Linked DNA regions of Schizosaccharomyces pombe. Changing the gene in region 1 together with any one later gene gives a genetic interaction. Each region holds a gene or a part of one and is shown on either strand. Other genes may lie near its edges.

The links.
Region 2: of spk1 (region 1) and sla1, changing one suppresses a phenotype caused by changing the other (phenotypic suppression), as found in Schizosaccharomyces pombe (one study listed by BioGRID).

Annotation. Positions count from the first base shown.
Region 1 is NC_003424.3:2,999,901-3,003,658, forward strand, and holds the start of spk1 (MAP kinase Spk1), read right to left. Parts: upstream 1,619-3,758; 5' UTR 1,069-1,618; coding exon 1-1,068. Other genes in the region: RNA polymerase I termination factor, Myb family Eta2, read left to right, coding at 2,157-3,758. UniProt on the Schizosaccharomyces pombe protein: Involved in mating signal transduction pathway.
Region 2 is NC_003424.3:1,381,908-1,385,474, reverse strand, and holds sla1 (La-motif domain-containing protein), read left to right. Parts: upstream 1-1,926; 5' UTR 1,927-1,961; coding exon 1,962-2,175; exon of another isoform or gene 2,176-2,250; coding exon 2,251-2,933; 3' UTR 2,934-3,067; downstream 3,068-3,567. Other genes in the region: disulfide relay system thiol oxidase subunit Mia40, read left to right, coding at 389-683, 752-1,398.

The DNA.
Region 1 (3,758 bases):
GAGATCTTCTTTGTTACAGTATAAATCGACGAGGTTGGGAGGCATGGGGGATGCTGTAGGCTCATCACTGGCATCATGATAAGCAGCTACATACGGGTGCTTTAGAGCCTCTTCTGCAGTTATACGCTTATCAGGATTAAATGTCAGTAATTTTTCTAAAAGGTCAATAGCATCTGGTGATGCCTGAGGAAAGAGTGCTTTGAATGATACTTTAGGAGTAAATGGAAGACTTTTAATATATTTCCTCGCACGTGCAGATTTAATTCTTGAAAAATCGTCCATAGTAGGCGTTCCTAGAATGTTAAGGATTAAAGTAATTTGACTATGATAGTCCTTTCCTGGGAACAATGGTCGAGCAGAAAGCATCTCAGCAAGTATACAACCAGTACTCCATAAATCAATAGCTTTGCTGTATTCTCGGAAACTCAGCATAATTTCCGGTGCTCGATACCAACGAGTTGCGACATACTCAGTCATAAAGCCAGGATTTCCGCCTTGAGCTGTGGTGGAACGTGCCAAACCGAAATCGGCAACTTTGAGATCACAATTGGCATTTAGTAGTAAGTTTGATGGCTTCAGGTCTCTATGAACAACTCCAGCACTATGCATGGCTTTCAGAGCGCGCAAAATTTGATACGTAAAGTATTGACAATGATCATCGCTTAAGGGCTGCGAACGTATAACACGGTACAAATCCGTTTCCATAAGCTCTTGTACAATATAAACATCTTCCAATTCCTGGTAGCTCGGTGGTGGAAGGATGTCTAGAATTGAAATTATATTTTCATGACGAAAATGTCTGAGTAACTTGATTTCCCTTAAAGTTCTTAGACAAAACACAGGATGATTGAAAGGATGTATTTTTTTAACAGCCACCTTTAGGCCGCTGGGTTTGTGAAGCGCGGCACATACAACTCCATAAGCACCTTGACCGATGAGATTGATCATTTCGTATTCCTCTGGTAGCTCAAAGTTTAGATCATGCGTGTGTGGGCTTCGACTTGTAGCTACTGACTCCTTGTTGGAATTCCCATCCGCAATAGTAGGCGTGGAAGTAGCGCTCGCCATTAGACTACAAATTGAAAAACTTGAAAGAAATGAAGCGATATGAATAGATAAATAGAATTAAAAAGAATTACAACGTTCTTTGTAATAAATTATGTTATGCAATCCTTTGTGCTTTAAATCCGACAATATTGAAAAAAGTCGGTTTGCCAGCCAAAGACAGAAATAGACAAGGATGTATTAGAAATCCCTTTATCAAATTAGTTTAGTATTAAATTAAATAATGCGAAAGAAGGACGTTCGGCAGCACTTCAAAAACAGGCGCTAGCAACAATAATACAAATATTAGGTTGCAAGCTTATAAAATATAGGAATAACAAAAGAAATAGAAAATATACAAAAATCGTAAAAGGGAAGAATTTCAAAAAACCAGACAAATGTATCTTCGCAATTGAGATTAAAGGCCCACAATGGTTATTCAATAAAAAAATGATGCTTCAAATATTGCCAAGCAAAGATGCCTTGAGGGAATTGCAAAAGCGTCCTTCAAAACCGTCTCTAGCAATTTCTCAATTGCCCTTCCAAAACTGTTGAAAAGCTGTTGGTAATTGTTAAGTAGTGTGGTTGGACTAGTCAACATTTATAACTTACAATAACAAAGAAAGTTTCTTTGTTAATGTATTGCCCCAGAAACTTCATAGATACGAATCTTTAGACAGAATAAAGAAACGATGAGTGACATGAAATCAAAAAAGTAACACACATTTTAAGTGCGCGACGCGTCGCGCATATTCTTTGTTTACACTAACTTACAAACCTTCCATCTACCACGACAGAAATTAAAGGCAAAGAAATGCAATATTTTAAGACTATCTAAATCGAAATAATTAATTTACAAGGTAAGCAGAAACAATTGGTTATGCAAGGATATTTGAATGGGTTCTTGAAGAGGTTGAACAGAAACCGTATGATGGTTGTTTAATTTTATGTTCTCGTAATAATAATCTTATGAAAGTTTAAAAAGCATGAAAAAAAATAGATAAATCCGTTGAAACTCTCAAACAAAAATAGTTAAACATTCATAAATTTCCCTTGGCGTCCTTACTTCATCATGAATTGGCTAACCCGTTATTAGAAGGCATTGTAAATTAATGATGTTAGCTATCGACATGACAATAAATGAAAACCAGGGAACACGCTCAAATTTGGAAAGTCCTACACTTTCATGTAGCAGTAAGGGTGCAATGCAAGAAAGAGACGTTATGTTTACAGATCACAATACCTTCAATATCACTAATAATAAATCTCGGCCTGGAAGTTTAATGAAATCTATGAAAAGAAAAGATGTTTACGAATTTGATGAAGATAATGAGTTTGAGTTTGAAATGGGGTCACTTATACATAAGCCTTCACGTGCTCACTCCTTAGGAGGAACTAGTGAGCCTGTGTCAGATGACCATAAAGATTGTATGGAAGCTACACGACAGTTATTGGAAAATAGTCCACTTTCCTCTGTCGTTGTCAAAACATGTAGTGATCATGCATCAAAGCGTAAAATTGCGCGATCCTCTTCTGACGATTCTGAAAGCAAAGTTGAAAGCACAAACTCTTTCAATGCAAAGAAAAGAAAGGATGCATGGACAGAGGAGCATGAAAAGTGGTTTCAAGCAAGGATTGATGAATTGTTAACGATTCGGTCTATATCACGGGAGCAAATGATCGAGATATTGGAAGACGAACATGCTGGGAGTCGACTTCAAGGGTTTTTAGAGTCAGTAGCATCTTTTCTGAATCGAAAAGAAAATAGTTTACTAAAGTACATGCGTGCTTTTTTTCAAGTCGCCGGTTACGAAAAGATAGACATTGGAAGCTTGGCTGCTGAAGAGGATTCGCAACTTAATTTTTCTCTAGAAGACGCACAAGTGATTCAAAAAGTAGTTTTGTCTTATTGTAATAATGAAGGCGTAGATTTACAAGAGTTTGGCTTCCGGATGAGTTCTTCAAGCTTAAGACATACAAATATCAACTTTCTATACAACGAACTACGCGAATTGCTGCCTACTTCTATTTCAAGAAAAGGAATTATTCGTTATTTGAAGGAAATCTACAAGCCGTTGGATCCGAAAGATAGGAATGCATGGGAGGAAAGTGAGCTAAAAAAGCTGTACACCCTAGTTGAACAAGAGGGAACGCGGTGGAACAGCATAGCGAACAAACTGGGAACGTCACCTGCCGCGTGCATGAGTCAATGGAGGTTTGTTGTAGGTACTAGTACTCAGGAAACAATTGATCGGCGCAAATTATGGACGAATGAAGAGGAAGCAAAGCTATTAGACTTGGTAAAGTCTTCTTACCGGTCGTCTTTTCACACAAAAAAAATGACAAGCCTTTTCACACACAATAATCACACTACTTCAAACATACAACGGGAAATACCGGCATCTGATTCCATTGCATGGCATAGCATATCGAAGAAGCTTGGGACTAAGTCGCCGGAAAGCTGTCGAAAACAGTACGAAAAAACAATCGCATCTTATTCTTCTAACCAACGTCAAGAGGAGGATCAAGGGAAGAAAAGGAAGAAGAGAAAAAAGAAGAAATCAAAGGGTAAACGCAAATTTTACGTCGCGGATAGTTTAAAACTACTAGAACATGTACAAAGGCAATGCGGAGAAGCAATCTCCATAAATGCCATTGATTGGAAAGGCATTGTCAAGCAAATGCCAAAATGGTCCGAGGAGGAATTGAGAGCG
Region 2 (3,567 bases), 1.6 Mb from region 1:
TTCAGTGTCGTTTACTGGTACATTATTATAGTAAAAATTTAACATATTATAGAAAATAATACTCACGTTCTTCTAATTAAATATTATAAATGAATTACCTTTTGTTTTGCATACCTAAGTTTGCTTGTGAAACTATTATGTCGCTAGTTTAATTCTATTATGAAATTAGTCATTCAGGCATTTCTTAGTAATCTCGTAAATCCTGCCAGTCTTGCTTGTCTTACATTTGTGAATACCTATTTACTTAAATCTGATTTAAAAAACATGCAAACTTATATAAACTTAGAATGAATGACAAAGTTACGTTCTTGTAAGATCGTCGCCGCTTTCTGACCATTACGCAGACATTAGAAGTTCAGAGCTCAACTTCCCATAAATCAAAAAAACCATGTTTGCTAAAAACTTACTTTTCAGATTTCCAAAATGTATAAGGATTAACGGTTACAATAATATGAGAAGGTCTCTACTGCAGAGAAATGGATTTCAAGCAGGCATTTGTCGAAAATTTGGTACTGCAACCAAAACTGATGTATGGAAAGGCCGTTTTTTGCCTATTGTATCTGGCGTTGCAGCTGCTTCTTTGACTGCTGGATATTTACTTGGAAAAAACACTTCAAATGCATCATCGAGTCAAGATAATGACCATCCTGTTGTAGGCGAACATGTCCATACGGAAACACAATGTAAGTATCATATGTTTGAAATGGCTATCTTTTTCTGTACGATTATATGAATTTAACTAACAATATAGCGTATAATGAACCATATATGCAGCGACACCGAATTGAAGATGCCATTGAGAAGAAAATGACAAGTGAAACACAACCTTCGACTGACGAGAAAGGCCGCAAGGTCAGCGCTACTGAGAATAGTGCACCGAAGAAAACTGATAAGGAAAAATCCAGCGGGGAGACAGCTGGAAATATACTTCGAGAACAAATAGCCACTGGTAAAGATGATGATGAATATGCTAGGAAATTTGAGGAAGTGGAGGAGGAGAGCAGCGAGGAGTCAGCATTTAATCCGGATACTGGAGAGATTAACTGGGATTGTCCCTGTCTTGGAGGTATGGCTCATGGTCCATGTGGAGAAGAATTCAAAGCAGCTTTTAGTTGCTTCGTTTATTCCAAGAGTGAACCAAAAGGTATGGAATGTCTTGACAAATTTCAAGCTATGCAGGCTTGTTTTCAAAAACACCCCGAAATTTATCAAGATATGGTAGGGGAGTCTGAAGAGGAAGACGCCGAAACTAATGAGAAACCATCGACTACATCTGACGAAAATAATCAACCACAATCTCCACCCTCCGATAATGCATCTAATCCTGAAGAAGACGTTATGAACATGGAGAAAGAAATTGTTAATCTTACACCTATGTCAGTTATAAAGGAAATTTAAAATTTTCGAGGCGCTCCGTTTACTATTTAAAATCCTTCAACAATATGAAATTGAAATTATTCAATTAAAGCATTTGATAGTGATCTCGTAACGAACATATAATGACTCCAACAAATGGAGTAAGTTTAAAGTATTAATGTCTTACATCGGTTTTAATAGTTAGCGGTTCTACAATAAAGTGGATATTAAATGATAATTCGAATGGGGAATCTTGATATTATAGGTTATATTGCAATTGTCGGTAAAGAATCATAAATAGGAAAACTAAAAGCTACTGCTTGTCATTATGGTTAAATTGTATCCAGAGCTACATTGTAAGGAGCAATCTCTGTTAATCTTTTCAAAAAAAAAAACAATGGAAATTCATGGGATTATTCTATCTATTATAAATCTATTATGAATAAACTACTTCTTTTTTAAGTGCCAACTTTTAACATTGTCTTCATGAGTAGGAAAATAATGTCAGTTCGATAATAGGGTAGGGTTAGAAATGCTTCTAGGAGAGGAATCCAACTTCTTATGAAATTTGCCCTTTGCCTGTCTCTCTACGAATAATTAACATCATGTCAACTGAAGAACAGAAGGAAGAAATTAAGGACATCTCATCTAAGCAGGAGAATTCTTCAGAGGTTCCCAAGGCCGAGGAAGCTGGAAAAGTAGTAGAAAGTCAAAAAGATACTACTAGTGAAGAAAAAAAGGAGGAAACTACTGAAAAGAAGGAAGATGATGGAAAAAAAGATTTATCTTTTGATGAAGCTGAAGTTTTAAAGCAAGTTGGTATGTTACACACTTTGTTTACGTTGGATTAAAACCTTTTTTGTGTTGAGTGGTCGTTACTAACAGTATGAATAGAATTTTATTTTTCGGACACCAACTTACCCCATGATAAATTTTTATGGACTACTTCTCAAAAAAATGATGGATGGGTTCCCATTCAAACAATTGCTAATTTCAAACGTATGCGTCGTTTTCAGCCTTTGGAAGCCATTGTAAATGCTCTTCGCAAGAGTCCTGAACTTCTTGAAGTCGATGAAGCTGGCGAAAAAGTACGTCGTATGATTCCTCTAGTTCGTGTAGACAACAAGAGCGTCATGGAAAGAAGTGTCTACTGCAAAGGTTTCGGTGATGAAAAAGATGACACTCAAATTGCTTTGGAAAAATTCTTTGAAGAAAATGCTGGTCCCATTAGTGCTGTCCGTATGAGAAGGGATGACGATAAAAAATTTAAGGGAAGCGTATTTGTTGAATTCAAGGAACCCGATGTTGCTAATAAATTTCTTGAGAAAGTCAAAACTGCACCTTTGAAATGGGGCGAGGACGAGCTCACTATAATGAGCAAAAAGGAGTATGTTGACATGAAAGCTGAATTACATAAAAACGATCCACCAAAGTTTAGCAGCAAACGCAGACGTTTTGACGCTTTTAAAGAGATGGATCGTCAGCGTCCTGGTAAATATAGTAACAGAGGAAGAAAATTTAAGAAGCAAAGGTCATCTAACGCTTCTGAAGAGAAGCCTTCGGCCGCTTCGGAGTAAAATGGATTAATTTTGTTTGTTTGTTTGTTTTACAAATACTTCAAAGACACTGGACAAATAAACTTTTTCGGATTGGTTATATTAGGAATTTTGGATGAATAAATAGTCGTTTCATGCAGTTATTTTGTACAATATGACCTCGTAATTTAATGCTTAAATCGTAACAATATTCGGCTATAAGTTTTGCTATACGAATTTTAAAGGTTTTGAATAATAGCAATAGTTTTTTGCTTCATCACTTATAATGTATCGTACTGAATATTTTAAATTTCACATGAGTTAATATTAAGTCCTATTTCTTTACCAGTACGACCAAGCTTGCATTTCAGAAGTTCTCAGTGGAATTTGCAATGATCAGAATTGACTGAATTAAGAACTTGTATATTTCTGGTGGATATCAACCATACAAGAATCAACTTTAACAGTAAAAATAAAAAAATATCAACCTTAGAACCATGCGTCTTTCACATATTTCCGACTGCACAGTCAACATAGGTTTACAGTTCTCGATTGCTTGACTGGGCTACGCTATCGATCCTACACATCAATATGTTCTTCAGAATACAAAATATAGTGAAGCAAAAATAGTTGACCTTCCTATAGCTTAATTATAACTGAGACATTGCTTAAGCTA